Linked DNA regions of Drosophila melanogaster. The protein of the gene in region 1 interacts with the protein of each later gene in a pairwise test. Each region holds a gene or a part of one and is shown in the gene's direction. Other genes may lie near its edges. The genes, in order: Tsp42Eg and CG4287.

The links.
Region 2: the proteins of Tsp42Eg (region 1) and CG4287 interact in a two-hybrid assay, tested with the Drosophila melanogaster proteins (one large-scale study listed by BioGRID).

Annotation. Positions count from the first base shown.
Region 1 is NT_033778.4:7,025,460-7,035,971, forward strand, and holds Tsp42Eg (tetraspanin 42Eg), read left to right. Parts: upstream 1-3,451; 5' UTR 3,452-3,639; coding exon 3,640-3,699; intron 3,700-6,288; coding exon 6,289-6,453; intron 6,454-6,867; coding exon 6,868-7,044; intron 7,045-7,112; coding exon 7,113-7,286; intron 7,287-7,350; coding exon 7,351-7,431; 3' UTR 7,432-7,774; downstream 7,775-10,512. Other genes in the region: Tsp42Ef (tetraspanin 42Ef), read left to right, coding at 1,525-1,698, 1,760-1,921, 1,985-2,182, 2,243-2,314; Tsp42Eh (tetraspanin 42Eh), read left to right, coding at 8,200-8,259, 8,320-8,514, 8,583-8,747, 8,810-9,007, 9,167-9,244; Tsp42Ei (tetraspanin 42Ei), read left to right, coding at 9,877-9,936, 10,011-10,193.
Region 2 is NT_033777.3:15,960,042-15,967,761, reverse strand, and holds CG4287 (uncharacterized protein), read left to right. Parts: upstream 1-3,894; 5' UTR 3,895-4,163; intron 4,164-4,216; 5' UTR 4,217-4,222; coding exon 4,223-5,224; 3' UTR 5,225-5,595; downstream 5,596-7,720. Other genes in the region: Rbf2 (Retinoblastoma-family protein 2), read right to left, coding at 1-2,156; CG32856 (uncharacterized protein), read left to right, coding at 2,578-2,688, 2,743-2,955; CG5516 (uncharacterized protein), read right to left, coding at 3,114-3,597, 3,665-3,711.

The DNA of each region.
Region 1 (10,512 bases):
TTTCCCGCCCACACCCGAGATAGCCCACTCCAGCGATTACGTCAATTGTATGCGTTGTAAACAAGAATACGGTACAACGACCACTTAAGTTGGTTTCGCAACGATCCCAAACAATGCACGAAATATATCATCTTATCAAATGGCACAACTTTAAGTGTACCTGCGTACATATATACACGGCATATTTTAGTATGGGAACCGTCGCCATGTGTTAATTTTTGGTTGGCAGGAGTGTAAAACACACCAGTAAAACCGTCTAATGGTCGAACCCAATTCCCCGATTATAGTTTATTGGTTTATTTATACAATTTAATTGCAAGCCGCGGTGAGAAGGACCAGATGGCCCCAGAGGTCACAGCATATATAATACGATCGGGCTATCCGTCCGCTGGCAGCTCATCAATTCGAAATTTTCCAATCGATATCTGGACTTGCAGCAGGGACTCGGCTTACTCATGACTTTCGGACGAATCCATTGCAATCGGAAAACAGTCACACTCGTATCAGAGCTAAATCGAAACAGCTAGCGAATTAATCACCGATGTTTGCACCTCGCCTTTCATTTTCGAATCGAAACATCATCGCTGTATGAGCGCCTCACGTCACCTTTTAAACTTATCCCAATGCTACAGAGACTGAATTTGAATAATTCAAACCCACTCAAACAAGCGCGTTAGCAAACAAGCTATCCGCTGCGATACCGCCGTATCAGATATGAATAGTAATCGAGTGACCTTGTCTGTGTGCGCAGTCCTGTCCGAATTGTTTGCTGTGGGTGTCCTTCTTCGACTTCCCAGTCCCTAGTTTCCCACACCACGTTCCCGCCAACTTCCTTGGCGTCTATCCCTGTCGCCAGATGGGCTAGCCTGGAGGACGCCCCCGAATGGGCTCTCCAACTAACGCCTTGTGCGAGGTCAAAACACTAGAAATGGAACACTAGGCCACAAGTACCAGGACTTTAGTTAAATGGGTTGCTGACGAAGGTAACTATTGCCAATTCAGTGAGTTTCACTCGCAAGGAAAGATAAGCTGAATAACATAACAAACACTATACAATAACAACATGTCTATGAATGTGTATTGCCGGCCAATTTGAATTTGGACGGCTTGATTGTGGGATTTCAGCGGTCTCTTATCAAAGCTATCAAAGCTATCAAAGCTGTCGAGCGCCACCCTTATAATTATCTAACTAATATTAAATATATATATATATATATATATTCATAGCGTTGAAGCTTATCAAATTTATGATAAAGTGTTACCCTTTACATGTAATTAATCTTGATTTATTGTAATCTTTTTGAAAGTCTTCAACTTGAACTTAAATCGTGTTGTATGTACGCACGTATTCTTATCTTATCAGATAAATTTAAGGCAGACAATTCATTTCGGTCTTCGGTACTAGTAATTGTATTACTTGAGCTAAACGAACAACATATATGTATTTCTAATGAGGTCAGAATGCTCATTCCGTTCGAGAAGCTCCCAAGATTCCCTACTAATATTGGACTTGTGATCCCACAGCTGCTAGCCTTGGTGCTGATATCCTTCGGCATCTATGTGGCGGTGTCCTACAACCTAAACGAGATCGGTCAGCTGACGGCCTACGGCTACGTGGGACTCGGGGCTGCTGCCCTGCTGGTTGTCCTTTGGGGATACCTGTCCGCCTGGCGCGAGAACGTGTGCTGCACAGTGACGGTAAGTCAAGGATGGGTGTCTACTGTTAAGCATGGTGGTATACGGTTCTATTTCCTTGCAGTTCATTATTTTCCTGTGCCTGGTCATCATTGCCCAGTTCGCCGTCGTCTACTTGCTGATCACCCAGGAGAAGACGGTGGCCTCCAACCTGGCTAATGCCCTGGAGGCCACCTGGGAGGAGGAACTGAACAGCCCTGGTGCCATGTCGCTGTACCAGAACTGGGTGAGTTGACAGCAGGGCTCTAGTTAGAGTCATAAACACTGATAATCACCCATATACCCGTAGTTCCAGTGCTGCGGTCGTGGAAGTCCCCAGGATTACATCGTCAACGAACGACTGCCGCCGGAGACATGTTTCCGAAACCACGACAAGAGCAAGCCGGAGAACCTGATCCACACCGGCTGTCGGGTGGAGTTCGAGAACTACTGGCAACACTTGACCAAGATTTTTAACATCCTGGCCCTCGTACTCATTGGCTTCGAGGTGGGTGTCCCAAAAGCGAACGACTGAGCGCTGTTTTTAAAATGTCCCCATCTCTTGCAGCTCCTGCTGAGTGTCATCTCTTGCCGCCTGTGCAACAGCATTCGCAACGATGCTCGACGTTCTTACTTTTAGACAGTGAAACCTGAAAATACTCAACTGGGATTGGCAGTCGACTTGTTAAATTTCTGAAGAATATTACACTATTAATTAATTGGCTTGGCAGGTCTTGAGCGTTATTCAAGACTGGGGTATTGCTGTTATATTTTCGAAATTGAAACTCATTTAATCAGCACAGTGCACTGAAATGATCCCTTTTCACACGTTGATTTCAGTGAAATACAGAGGGCAACTCACAACTAAGATTAAGAAAAGTAAAATAGATTTAGTTTTATTTATTTCAACATACTTTTAAATAAATTTATCGAACCAAAGTCAAGCACCTACTTCATTCTGTTATTATTGAAAAACACATTATATTTAGCGTGTTTGGGTCGTGTTTCGTTACTATTCTAACCTAATTAGTTATCCATATAGTTGCACACACCTGATTAGTAACGTATTGGGGCACACATTGTGGGGCACATTTGTGGTTTGCTTGTATAAATTATACAAACGATATTATATTTAAAAATAAAACTGCCGGTTATGTTGCTCACACATAGAAAAGCTTTGGTATCCAAAAAATAAATACACACGATGAACGTTTCAAATGGAAATTAATTATAAACCGAATATTTCTACTGGCAAAAATAAAATAAAAAAAGCGAGAATGCTGCAGTCAGAGTACTATTACTATGAGATGCGACACACCCTCAAAGTAATCAGGGTATATTAGCTTTCCAAGCCTGTTGCACTTTTTGGAAAAAATATGATATTTTTAATGAAGTGTTTTATTAAAGGATCAGTACAATCGTCGTTCTGTATTTCAGCAGATAAGTCAGCTTATGTTGATATCGTGGTGTTTTTAGGAAATGTTTGTTCCTTGCTCACGTGCACAACATACCCTATTTTTTCGAGTAAGGGGTATAACTAGCATGGGCCACCGCGTCTTCCATTTTATTCAAATAGATCGTCATCTATTTCTGTTTTCTGTGTACACGCTAACGAACATATATAAGTAAATATCTAGTTGAGCACAAAATCATTGCGCTCTTGCGGCCAAATGTTTCGATTCCACACGTTGTGCCGAAGCTTTCGTTCCGATTTCCGCCGTTTGTTCGCCAAATGCTTTTCGCGCTATCAACAAAGTCGGAACGTTTGGAAAAGTTTTCAGTTTTCAGTTAACAGTCGAGCGGTGAGCATGAGCCCGGTTTTGGGTAACCCCAGCAACCGTTAGATCCGAAATAAATATTTTCCGATTGTCAACAAGCCGCGAGTTGCCAAGTGTTATAAATAATACGCGTAACCTCCTGCAAAGAAACAATAGATATATAGTTTCCGAAAATTGGATTGGCAAGATGGCCTGCTCCACAAACGTTTTGAAGGGCTTTGCCCTCTTTTGGGATATTATCCTCGCTGTGAGTATTATATACTATAAGCATCCATAAAGATTAAGCATTACATGTTTTAAGCGTTAAGGGGCAGGTATTTCTGTCGCGCAACTCTGGTGACCCCAAACAGCACGACGACAGTAATTAAGCTGAAGCTCTAGCCAAGGCTAATTGCAGGAAAACAACTTAACTTTGGCCAAATGCCAGTTCTTGCCCAAGAAACGTTCTCCAGCTTCGCCCAAGTTCATTCACAAATCCATCAGCCTTTGACGTGACATTTGTTTATTTCATTGCACAGAATTCAAACATTGGAGCGCCTCCTTAAGCATAAATATTGTTTTGCTATTTTTGTTTGTTTTTGTGTTTCATTTTCAAATTCACTTGAATGTTGAGGCAAATACTTTTACATCAGCCAGATAGGGAAAAACTCTTCTAAAAGGCACCATGTTCTAGCGAATTTCACCCGCACAAAAATATCTTTAAAAATGATATAATATTTAGATATTTGCTTGTATTTTGTTTATTTTCTATTGAGCTTTTTATTTGGCTTTCAACATTTTATGTCTGCCAAGTCGAAACTTGGTCACCCACGCCATCACTTAACCCTGAACAAAATCTACAGAATTTTTATTAGATATTCGCTGTTATTTTAGTTGGATTTACTTGAACCAGATTTTGGCTTGGGCCGTGTGTACATATACATATCTGTTGATGTCATTTCCTAGACGTTTTGGGCATCTTTCTGGCGTTTGATTCCATTGGAATGCGACTGAAGGCCGAGGAAATGCCAGCGCGCACCACACGGCGTATGCGCGATTTTCCGCATTTGGTTCCAGGCGAGTTAACTCTTGAATTGCGCGTTGAGAGATTTCAATTATGCTGGAGCCCAGGCTGAAACTGAAATTACTTCATTATGTTTTAGGGTAGGGCTTAACCTTTGTGTCTCAGCCTTTAGTGCTCCCATGCCGACAGCAAACCCACATAAATCTGGTCCCCTGTACGTTTTTGAACATTGATTCCGAGCTCTGGCAATGGCATTTGATCTGCCTACTCAGCGGACTACTGTCCCCCTTATCAACGGATATGCAAATTAGTTGTCCGCACTGCTCTGCCGAAGTCCGACCTTGGTTAGTCTGGTGATAATTGCGTTTAATTGCTTGTCTGCGTGGGGAAATGGGAGCAAATTAATAAAACGTTGCTGTTTCTCTGTTGCCAACACATGGCGATCTTATCGCGTTTATTAGACATCACCTGAGTGTCTTCTTGGCCCGTTAAACAATCTCGACGGGCGTAATAGTCCGCTTTCGATATCACCGGTTGAGTGGGCGGGCTTGTTCCCTGTGCAAATGGCGATCATAAGGTTCTGCTTCGAATTAAGTCGCATAGCGCGGTACTCAATCACAAAGTCTAACTATGGGTCGATGGTCCTAAGTGAATTCAGATTGTGGCATGCTTGGCTCGCATTTCCTCAACTAATACAATTTGTTTGTTTTCGATTTTCGGGCTTTCAAGAACGTGCCTTTGTGTTTTCGGTTTTCCGTGTCAGCGCCTATTTGGACTTTGCGGGATTTTGGGCGCCGGGGAATAATAAATTACAATTAAATGGCGCGCAATACACACTCGCTCATCCACAAAACAGTGCCAGATGTCTCCTCAGTCGACGTGTCTGCTGAACTACAGCTCATCCCATTGTCTCATAAGCATTAATTGATGGGCCAGTGTCGATTGTAACTCTATTAATGTAAATGATATTTACCCGCTGCCTTATTGGGCAACAAAGCTCATTAAATTCAGCCTTAAGTGAATATTTATTTAACTGCCTACTATCCAGAGCCTAAAATAAAGCGTTACGCCCAGTTTAGGGTTACCAAAACGTTTCTGACCGGGAATTACACTCGAAATCAGTCATGGCTGCCGTTATTAATCGTCGAAATCACTCATAATCACCTCGTAGGCTTTGGGCTGATTCGTAAGCGTTTTCTAAGCCGGGCCCATTGAGTTGGGGTGACAAACAAACGTGGCTCGTCAAAGCCAACGTATTTGCCGACTGGTTTTCTTGTTTGCCAACGACAATTGTAAAAATAATTTACAAATTGCTGGCGTCAACAGGTTGCCGTGTGCAAACATCATCGCCTTGTAATTACTACGCATTTCGAAAACTTACTTTCGGTATTGGGATTGGATTTTGAATTCTTTTCGCTTCTCTGGGCAAGCTGCCAAATTACGAAGAGCCTACATTTGGCAGGAGAGTGCGAAATGTAGCGTTGTGCTTGTGGATCTAGTGAGTCATGGCGGTAATTTTAAAATGCAACCGCAATGCACTCGAAAAGTGAGAGGCAGTTTTCTAGAGACAACTCTGCGTATACGTAATATAGCTCTATGATGGCATTAGTTCGGCGAGAATGAGTAAACATCGCTGTGCGGCGATCTTTGTAAGAACTAAGATTTAATCACACAGCCGAACGCCTGGATTGTTTCCATTGATTCTCGGTAGAGAGAAACCTCATTTGCATACTGACTCAACGCGAAAACCTTCAGGCGATACGGTTTTATCACCTCTCGGACAAAGCTGAATTATTTAACTTTTCAATCATCCACTTCTCCCCATTTCGACAGCTGTTCGGCCTGGTTGTTATCGGCCTTGGTGTGCACATCATCTACAAATTCGAGCACTTCAACACGGCCGCCTTCGTCATCATCGCGGTGGGCGTGGTCGTCGTTCTGACCGCCCTTTTCGGGGCTCTGGGAGCAGCGCGGGAGAGCAGTGCCACATCTAAGGTGGTAAGTAAGAAGTACATTAAGTACAATAAACCATACATTTAGGCGGCTTAGGCGGAACCTTATCAAGTATATATATATCCTCTATAGCGTCGGAAACACTTTCTCCAAACTCTTACATACTTTTCAACGAATATAGTATACTCTTCGCACTGTAAAAGTATACTCTATACTGTATGTTATGCCCGTAAAGCTCAACAAATCCAAATAATTCATAAAATTATGGACCGAAATTAAAATTTCTTGGTTCCCAGAACTTAAAAAATTGTAGGTACCAAAGCTTTTTTAGAAACCAATGTATTGGTTCTATATATTTGAGATTTCTCTAGATTTATTGAATTCACTAAAAAAAGTGGTCTTATAAAACATACTAATCTGAATTTAAATTATAATTATATTTCTCTGTCGCCTGCCCAGTTCGTTGTTATTCTGATTGTCTTGGTCATACTGGAAGTTCTAGCAGTTGGGTTCCTGTGGGTTTTCCAAACCTCGCTGCTGATTAACGTGGACAAAACGTTCGATAAACTGTGGAATGACCAGCCGGTGCCAATCAAGCCTGGCAACCAGAGTCAGATTGCCAGCCTCGAGCGATGGGTAAGTTGAGACGAGATCTATAAAAGGTGGGGGTGCCCAATAAGACCCTTTCATGCCATTTATTTTAGTTGGATTGCTGCGGCAATGTGGGGCCCTCGGACTACATTCTGCCCCCGAATAGTTGCTACAACGGCGAGAGTGACAAACTGAATCTTGAAGGATGCCGGCAAAAGTTCCTGGACTTTATCGCCGATCGTTGGACGACATTTAATCTGGTTTCCCTGGTGCTATTGGGTGTGGAGGTGGGTAGAGAGTTATTGAGAGTTAGATGATGTTCAATAATGAAAACCAATTATTCCTTCACAGCTGATTTGCGCCCTGTTGGCCTATGTCCTGGCCAATAGCATCGTGAACCGCTGGCGACGCTCGAAGTACTATCAGAAATAGGTTCACATACCATTTTGAAATACATTGAAATGCATTTCGAAAATTCAAGTTTAAGCTGCGCATACTTAAGGCCAAAGAACTCTCCATACAAATACTTAAGCCGAAACTCGATAGAGATTCCAAAACAAATTTACTTAAGCCAAGCAAACCGAAAGCAGTGCGTTGTTTGTATTCTATTTATCACTTTGGATAACTGCAATGTTGAAGCGGATTCTATATTCCGCTTAGAATGTAACTTAATCTACACTAAGCTCGACCTAAGCCACAAATTTTCTGTAACAGCATTTCGAGGAGACAAGTCAAATAAAGAATCTGGCCGAAGATCCAGAAGATCTGAAGATCTAAAGATCGGTTGACATCATTCCTATGATAATGAGGTGAGGGGAGTGGCGGCCAAAAGGTGAGGGTGGCCACATGCTGGCTCATTTTTGTAGAGCGCGTGGGCGGTCGGTTGTTTTCATTGGTATTATTCGCTGCGGACCGTGCTCGCCTTTGATTTCCCCCTGGCATTTATTTGGCCACTGCATCTGGCCAACGGGTCGGATCGGATCGGGCCGGACCGGACGGGATGGCGACAGAATCCGAAGCAGCCAACGAATCTGTGGGTTAATCGGTTGCCGGCGACAGCTCTGCGAGTCGCCCCAGGCAAACAAATGGAGATTATGCGACTTTAGTCTATATTTTGATGGCACTGCTCAAGGTGTGCGCCTTGGAACGCCGACGGAAAAACTCGCATGAAAATTGTGAAAATCGAAAGCTAGCTGCGCCATGTACTGCACCACCCGACTGCTCAGATACGTTCTGTGTGTCATCAGTGGCATCTGTGCCGTAAGTGCCCGAAATAGACCCGATCGGCTGACATTGAAAGGGATTGTGGCCTTTGTTTAGCTAGGTGGCTGCCTGCTCATCTGGTACGGCGCCTGGCTGCTGGATAGCCTCTCTGAGGAGCAGCGGATGCTGGGAATGGATCACGGTGAGGACCTGGCCGCCGTTCTCTGCGTCCTGCTGGGCACCGTCATCGTGGTGGCCAGCATTTTCGGATCGGTGGCTGTGGCCAAGGACTCCAGGGTGCTGTTGATCTGCGTAAGTACTCGACGTTGATTCTATGACTCACCTGTATAACTCACCTTTCCTATAACTTTCTTATATAGTACGCCGTTTTGTTGGTGTTTCTCCTGATCGTTCAGATTGTATTGGTCAGCATAAGCTATGCCGCCAGCCGAGATTTCCTACCGGATTCTTTGAGGCAGGGACTTGACGACCTGTGGGACTTGCAACACGAGGGCAACAGCACACTGAACACCTACGAGGAGTGGGTAAGCTTGCCGTCCTTTTAATTAAACACTTTCAGATCATAGCTAAACTTACAACTCAATAGCTTCACTGCTGTGGCCGCAACAGTGCCGAGGACTACCTGCACTTGGAGAAGATGCCTCCTCCCAGTTGTTGTCTCAATCGGGACTGCACCAAGCATCTGAATCTTTTCATGACAGGCTGCGAAGTCAAGTTCAAGGAGTATGTCGGCGCAAAGACAGCCAACTTCCACTCGCTAAGTTGGTTCCTTGTTATCTTTGAGGTAAGTAGACAGTTTTAGAGTTTCTCAACTACCATCTAGCATCTTTGGTTTTTGCTTGGTTCTCAATCTAAACAAAGTAATTTACAAAATATTTAAATTGCCCGTATCTTTCTATCATTACATACTTATGTTTATTATATTAACTTATTGTATTTGCAGTTCGCTGGCTCGGTGACCACCTGCTACCTGGTAGACAGCATTCGCAATCATCGCGACCGCATAAGATTCTATAATTAAGATAGTATTTAGGGATTTGCACGAACCGTATTATCGTTATTTGTTGTGAGTAATTTCCTAGCCATACGGCCCTGGCGAATTGTGATTGTAGTTTACGATGATTAACCAAGTTAGGCTACAGATACCAAGTATTCATTCATAAAACTGTAAACTGGCACCCACGCCCACGAAATAATTCGAAACGAAAATAAATAAACCCGTTGCCATTGACTAAACTAAACTTTTACAAGAGATTTTCGTTGGCCAGCAGGAATCTAAACGTGTGGGGATCGGCGATAAACAAGAAAAGCTCGCGCAAGTGGGCGATTCTCGCTCTCGATTTTCATTAACCGATTTATAGATAGAATGAATGAGCGATCGGTGAGTCGGTCGTTGTTTAAGTCAAAACAAAACACACTGTTTCGGTTTCCATCTCACAGCGCTGCCAGTTGATTCGCACAGCTGAACCACGGCGGTCGGACGTCGAAAGATCTTAGCGCGCCGCTGTATCCGAAAGATACGCATCTGAAACAGGCTGCTGGCCATATAGCCTTATATGTAAGGCCTCTGATGCACTCTACTGCGCGTTGCCTTCGTACATCTTAACAGTCGGTCTCCAGCCGCATCTACAGGTTGATTGATCCACAGTAATCATGGGTCTGGGCGCCACTACAGTGAAGCATGTGCTGCTTTTGCTGAACTTTGTGTTTTCCGTGAGTAGCACACCTGAGAGCGATACTAGTAAGTATTATATATGCCAACCTAACTTTTTTCTCGTTTTCCACAGGTGCTCGGGCTGGCGCTGATCGCCTTCGGAATTTTCTTTTTGATCTCCGCCGCTGAGAATGCAGTCAGCATTGGGAAAAATGTGGCCGGGGGCCTAATCATCGCCTTGGGCGTTGTCATCCTCATCATTGCGATCTTCGGCTGCCTGGCTGCCATCCATGAGGCTCCTGTGAGGCTCCTCATAGTAAGTAGCTCTGATTTCTACTCATTGCCCTTGCAGACTTGCTAAAAGATATATATATTTTTTTTTTTAAACATATTTCCTGATTAAGTAATACTGTTTTAAGACAATATGCTATACAAACTCTTTATTTTATGTGGGTGCACATTATAGTACTGTCCTGCTTGGTCAGTGCTTTTTTGCACATTGCACCCATAAATTATAGAGTATGTTAGTAGCCTAAACGATTAGATTTAGCCAATGCGATGATTCAGCTTAGATACTGATTGTAAGCTTAGTGAGAAGCGATTGTTTTCAGCAAAGCTGATTTGTAGATTTTGAT
Region 2 (7,720 bases), on another chromosome or scaffold:
ATGTTGGCTCTCATGCTCAATTCGTTGGAAGTTGTTTCCGTCAGAATACCAACGTTACTCTGTGATTCTTCCAGTGACTTGCGTGTTTGCGCACACTCCAGGTGGCGGCCATAGTTGCCCATACTTTGGACATACACACTGTTGTAGAAAGTGATAATATCAGCGGTCTGACCATTGCCCAAGCTAACCTCTCGGTAAGCGCTTCTCCGAAAGTGCGGCTGTCGGCGATAGTGCTGGATAATCATGCTGAAAGTGAGGTGAAGCTTCTCGAGCCGAACATGAAGATGTATGGCGCACAACAGCAGTTGGTCCAGGTGTCGATTGCGGAGCAGACGGCTACTCTCTAAGGTGAAAGAGTGCTCGGCCAGGTGCCATATTTGGGGAAAGGAATCCACGAGGCAAAGACTCTTACACAGAAGGAGCAGCCGCCGGTTGGCCAGTCCGTAGAACTTTCGAAGGCAGATGCTTGAGCCTGTTGAAAAGTTCTCCTTGTCTTCTGTTTCTGCATCGACTTCCTTGTAGCGGGGAAGTCTTTGATTTAGCTCCCACCACAGCTGTGAGCTCTTGCGGAAAATCAACGAGTCCAGGCACATTTCCTCCACCACATCCAGGTGCTTGATCAGCTCTCTGCCCAGAAAACCATGATCGTAGCGCACCACCAACTCTAGAATCTTTTGAAAGTCGTAGGCGTCCAGTGAAAAGCAGTGCAGGACAAAGGGAAACCTTAGGCCTTCCACTAGTTTGTGGTGGACGTGAAGTGCCAGTTCCAGGCAGCAAGCTAACAGGGCGGCGGTAAGCTTGCGCTGCTTCATTAACTGACCAATCTTCAGCTGTGGTTTTTGAACCAGCTCCGGTCCCAAAATTTTCTGCAAATATTTGTAGTAAAGGCCTCTGGCCTGGCGGAATCGTTTTCCAGACAACTCAGCATCCAAAAAATCTTTCACGGCCATGGTAAAGGTCCGATTCATTTCTTCCAGAGTTTGATCTAAATAATTTACAATTTTATCTGCGTCTTCCTTCTTGGGGAATGCTTTTATAATGCTTAGGGGAAGACTTGCTGGTAGATCATGGGTGGACAGCTTCCTATGCGAAGGTGACGAGCTTGTTTGGAAGGCGAGCTGTGGGCTTTTAGGAGAGTCCCCTTTGGTCTCTATCGCCCCCTGGACGCTGAGCAGCACACGCTCGTCCATCTCACTAATGTCGGCTACTTGATTGGTGTATTTGCGATTTAAGTTTTCCAGATTGATATCTAGCATACCCTCCTTAATGATCTCCCGCATATGGGTGTCGTCTCCAACTAGACTATGGTCCATATAGAGCATTATTAAGGCTTTGTGGAAAAAGGCGTTCTTCATTTGCACCACTCCCTTCGCTGGTAGCTCGGGAATCAGTTCTCCCAGTGCTTCTAGCACGCTATATTTATTTAGCAAAATAGGATTGAAGTCTTCGGTGTCCCAATTCTTGGGCACTCCAGAGAACTCCCGGCGGATAACTACGGATCGGGGCACCTCTAAGGCGTTCACGAAAAGGAGATCCATTGTGCAAACGAGCACCTGACAGCCGTTGATCAGGTTTGTAATCGCAAAACCGGGTAACTCGTTGCGAATGACCAGGAAGAGCAACCAACCGAACTCATACAGCGCTTGGTAGTGATTCGCGGCACCCGGGTCCGCACCCTTGCCGGGGTGAACGAACAGGCTCCGAAAGATGTGCTTATAATGCCGCAGCAGCGTCGAAGTAATACCAAGTCGACAACGCAGTTCCTCAACCTCCAGCTGGAAAGTGTTCTCGTTTTGGGTCAGCCAATTCCAGTGCTCCATGCGGCGTAGAAACTGGGACACGTTCATCTTAAAGCTGCGCAGCAGACGGGTTAGTGACACGTTCCAGCAGCAGTTCTTGGCCACCGAATCGTTTGCCTCGTTGATGGACTCCCTAATATCGCGCATCTTCGAGCGCTGCAGTTCGCTGTAGACGGCGCAACACAGCCACTCCTGGGCATCTGCCTCGCTGGTGGACAGCCCGTTGACCGCATCCAAGCGATGGTAGGTGGACAGAGCGCTTTGCTGAATTCTCGCTTCCAGCTCCAATTGCTCGCAGCTGACGGAGAAGCGTCTCACCAGCGTCTCCGCCTCTCCCTCCACTTCACAAGTCTCCATTGGTAGGAAACTGTTTATATTCTATAGTCTACTAGTTTTTGTTTGTTTATATTTCTGCGTAGTTTACGCGAATCCCCGTTTAGACTGTACAAAATGCAAATTTCAGAAAGGCGCGAATGATTTCGATTGCTGCCTGCCTCACCGCCATTGTTATCGAAATTTTGCTTTTGCAACAGTGCTGCTTTAGCTGGCTTATCGATAGCTGATACTTAACCCATTGCTTTCACTTACTAAATAATTAATTACATTTCCTCATAAAGCAAGTGACTTTTAAAATACTTTCATGTTTTTAACATCATTTAGTTTTTATAAGTAATCTAAATTCAATTCATTTATTTCCTTGTCCATTGGAAGTATACCATATAAGGCCTTCATTAAAAAGGGGTCTTTCTAAGGTTAAAGTTTATTATTTGTTTTCAAAATGCTGCAAACAAATCGAGTCCTTCAAAAAGAGCAGGCTGAACTATTTGCTATCCAGAAGAAACTCGACCGAGTGCTCCCCGTCATTCAGGAGGCATTAAATTCACTAAAGGTATCTACAAATCTCTTGCTTCAATGACGGTTTTCCCAATTCAGTGTTCCACAGGTAGAGGAGCTGCATCTCAAGTCTCAGGTGGTGGGCCAGCAGAACCCAAAAACGCAGTGCTCCCCTGGAAGGGATCCCCTCCACATAGATCTGTCGGTGGAGCAGTCCCCAATCACAACTGTGATGGAGTCCCATCTCGTCAACAGCCAGCAAATAGATCTGGATCTCGTAAGCCAAATGAGGCGTTTCGAGGAGGAAGTCGACTCGGATTAAAATTGTTATTAAGGCTGGAACTTTACCAGAAAAACGTACATGTTGGGAGCATTAAAATATAAACAATACAGTACCAAAAGTATGTTCATTTTCGGTGTAAGTGTGGGAAAACTAAACTAGTAAAGCTACATACTACAGACCACAAATCGGTCTCTTGATTACTCTTGATCGTCAGAAGATTCAGGTGAACTCCCGGCTCGTTTTTTCTTTTTTTGTGGAGCTCCCTGCTTTTGATCCTCGCTGCTGTCGCTGTCCGAGCCACTTCCACTGGAGTCTGACGAGCTGCCTTCCTCGTCGTCCGAATCCGAACTGGAGCTGCTCGAGTCTGATTCGGATGAGGAGCCCGATTCGCTGCTGCTGTCTGAGCTGTCCGACGAGCTGGAGGAGGACGAGGAGCTCTTGCTCGTTTTCCGCTTTCGACGGACCTTCTTTCCTTCCGAGGAAGCCACTTCCGAGTGCTCCTCCACCTGGTTCTTGGGTGCGTCAGCCTCCTTTTGGGACATACGCTTGCTTAGCTGCTTGGTACGCGAGCTCCGGTGGACGTATTTGCGCTTCTCCTTGCACTCATAGCTCCAGTGTCCGATCTGCAGGCACTTCTGGCACCGGATGCCATTGGGAAAGTCTGCTGCTTGCTTTGCGGATCTGTTGTTACAGAATTCGTAGGTTACAACAAAAAAGCCGGCTGGGGTACTTCTTAAACGCGACTAACCTCTTCTTTTGCGCTAATTTGCGGGCAGCTAGGCCCACCAAAGTCATCCTGAAGCACTCGAGCAGACGCTGTTGGGAGGAAATCTTGATGTGGGTGGAAACCAACGTGGCCGGGTGGAAAAACTGGGAAAAATGAGTATCAAAAATGTTTTTTATAATTTTTTTCGTCACATTAGCGATAGTCCACTGAAAATTGTATACTTCGCAAATCGACTGTATATGGTATGGTCACCCTTATTGTTATCGGCTATCGAACTCAACAGCTGCTTGCCTAATTTGTGTCTACCTGGTTTATGTTGAAATGTCTGAATTTTAAAGTTAATTAAGCCAAAATTTAAGTGCATTATGCATGGTCGTAAAAAAAATAAGAAATAAGCAACAGCTGACAGCTATTTCACCCTTAATTGACTGGCACAAATTGCTTGGTCAAACAATAACAAAAGCGCTGTGCTGACTAAGCGGCGAAAGTGGTTGCAACAAAGTCCAATCACTATCAATCGGTAAGGTTGCTGCAGGTCATTTGCTGACCAGTAATAAAGGATTTCATACACAGCTAGCCATGGACAACAGCGCGTTGATGCCACAGGCGAGCGGACGTCATATGCCGCCCGAGGAACTGGCCATGCAAGCACTAACCAAGCAGCTTTACAAGTCTCGTCTCTTCCGCGGTTATTATATGGAACGCTGCTTGGTGGAGCAGGTGTCCGGCTACCGGGACGTGGTGGTGCTTCAACGCAGTGAGCGAGAGTTGGAGAAGCTGCTGCACTCGAGTGCCGGCCAATTACAAAAGTTTTATCAACGCTTCGTGCCCAATATGTGGGTGGGCATCACCTATGGGAGTTACGGAAGTTACCAGCACAAAGCAGATCCTGGTCAACTGGAAACCTGCATCTGGACAGAGATGAATGATCTGGCTTTTGGAGAGTATTGGTTTAGCATCAAGACCCTTCGCTTCCGGGACCATGAAGTCCAGTTCAAACTGAAGATGATAAGGCCCGTGGAGCCAGAGCTGATGGCGACGCCGAGGAGATCACTGATTCTTAATAGAAGTAGCCCTGTTAAGGCGATCACAGCGGGTGGGGAAAACTCCTCCTCCAAGCCGGATGAAGTGGCGGAGCAAATTCAGCTGGGCCTTAATGATTTTTTGGCTGTGCTGCAACAGTGGGGTGATGGAGTCAAACAAACCGTGTACGACTTCATGACCAACGATGTCAACAAGAGGAACATTTTGGGCACCATTCGGTTTCTGGGTCTACTAATTTTCTCTGCCTTGGGTGGAGCCGCACTAGCGCTACGATTCCTAGGCGTATTTGCTGTGCGATTCCTGTTTGAGCTGAGTCGTTTCACACATACAGCCACTCCAATAGTGTTTAAACTAATCGAGTTTCTGAACAAGATTGTGGGTGCTATCTTCATACTTTTGACCATGATTTGGAAAGACATTGTCACTCGTGGACATCCGGAACCGAAACAGCAGCAGCTGCATCTGGAGGCAAGTAGCCGCTTCAAGAGCATCCAATACGAGCGTTCCGAACCAAATCGACGTAGTCCCCGGTGGTGACCCGCCACTAAAAGCACATTAATGTCTAGCAAAGTGTTCCGAGGTGTAAGGGCAACGAAAAATCATTGAAATTGTGTTACTAGCCGTAAGCAAAGCGAAGCCAATCCCAATCCCCGCTTCGAGTCCGAGGGTATTTGCCCTGCAAATATGGGGACACCTATGAGATTTACAGATTTTAGTCAATTGCAATATTGTAAATTATTAATTGGCGTGCCACTGGCGCACAATCGCATGCTTATTAACCCCACTGTTAATTCATTGTGTATTGTCCAAAAATATGTTTTATTAAATCCGTTTAGTGTTAGATCCTGTAATTTATGTATCGAAAATTATTGTGAATAAATTGAATGCAATATGCGAAAATCGAAATGAAAGAGCTTGGCGTTTCGTTAGTTTTAATAGTTATACACTTTCCCTTTATTACTTTAGTTGATTTTAATCTCGTTAAATTGTTCTCATATATATTTATTATGTATATACTCGTACGTGTTCATGCTGTCGTCTTCGGTCTGTCATCGAACTTTACACAAAATGTTTAATTTATTTTCCGTTTGCTGTGCTTAGTTTTCAGGGTGCTATCGTCAGAGAAACACCACGTTCTGCCGTTGGTTTTAAATTGAGTGGAAAATGTTCTATGGCATTTCAGGGAGTGCCTCTGTTTCTAGCTGACAATTTTTGCATCCGGAGGATGCTACGAGGAATCCTCTGGTGTCTAAATATTTATCAATCATTAAACAACTAAATTATACTTTTCGGTTTTCCGTCTCGGGGGTGATATACTTTAATTAGTACATTTACATATATTTTACTTAATTTTGCAATGTATATTAATGGAATGCTGCTCAACAAACTTTGCTCATAAACATTAATTTAATTTTTGCTTTCTTTACGGCTTCATAATAATAATCTCTTTGCAGACAATAAAAAATGTGTGTGAGAGTCAATGCTGGAGGTTTGATATATCTTTTAGGATTCGGTGAGGATTGGATCTAGGGGTTGGGTTGTTCTGCCTTGTAAAATACATATGTTGTCAACATTATTACATTATTTATCGTTAATTTTTAATTTTTAATATTTATTGTTATTTATTAGTTCGGTTTATGCACTAATTTGCTTGTCATTGTGTCGCCAACATGTTTAAAAACGCACAAAGTAAATATAAATTTTAAAATTTCTTTAGTTTGTCATATTCCATGCCGTTTCGTGTAAATACATTTCATTTCTTTAAAAGTAAATGTACAATATACAGTTTAATGTTATAACTTTTACTTTTTCCGTAACATCCGCCTGCCTGTTTTCCATATATTTCGTGACTGCTAACAAATAATTACACATTCATAGCATTCTCATTCTCATATAACGTTTGTCTGCAGAAAATAATTTTATTTTGGTTTTATTAACAATTAGTTAGACATTTAGAGCAAAAACATTGATAATATAGAATTTGTTTTGTTTTTAGTTTATGCATAAAAATTTGTCTAGTGAAATATATAAATATATATGTGTATATATTTGTTTCAAATGTTTTGAACTGCTTATTGTTTATAATTGCATTTACTTTTCATTTGTTATTTGTAATTTATTAATTGCGTTTTAAGTTTCTTGATCTTTCAAGTCCAATCAGTGTATTATTGTTTTGGCAATTTGTTTGTTTTTAGTTTTGTTCAAGGAAGTTCGTGTATTGGTAGTGGAACAGCAAGGTGATAGTTGTTTAGAAAAAATCGAAAAAGAAGTTTGTTTCGAACTGAAAACGTTCGGAAAAGAAAAACTTGTTGGCGCGCCTTAAATTGAGCTAAACAATTGGTATTTATATGCATTGTTATTTATTTATTCTTGAACGTGTTTTTTAAGCATCAATCAATGATAATTTATTCTGTAATATTGTTGTTGGGCTATTAACTATTGAGGGATAAATAATACGTTTGAATGTTACTTCTTTGCTCTCAACTAATAAGTTACTATCATTTTTATTTCGCTTGTTTTGAATTCAAAATTTCTAAAAGAAGAGCATTTCAAGGATTTTTAAACTAAACTTTCAACTTTTTTTTTTTTGGGTGTCTCGTATCTTTACATATTTTATATCTATACTTTTATTATAATAATTTTTACACATTAAATTCAAATGCATTAATTTATCTGTATATATATATGTGTGTATATATATTTATATATAATTTATTTATAAATATAAATAACAAAATTTCCCTTTGAAGCATGTTTGTTTACTCAATTGTTAGTCACTATATTGAAATATGATCTGCATATATAGCATTAGCCAGTTTCTCGTCTGGCCCGCTCTCATAGTTGTGTGTCTGTCTATATGTTATAAGTACTTATTGATAATTACTGACTGCCAGATTTCTGATGCTTCGTGTGCTGAACAATTGGCAAGTAATACCGACGACTCCCTCTACCGCTGCCACTCGGTGTGTCAACCAAATAAAAGAGAATATAGTAGTTACATACATTTGAATACCGGATTGGTTAGGGCTTGGT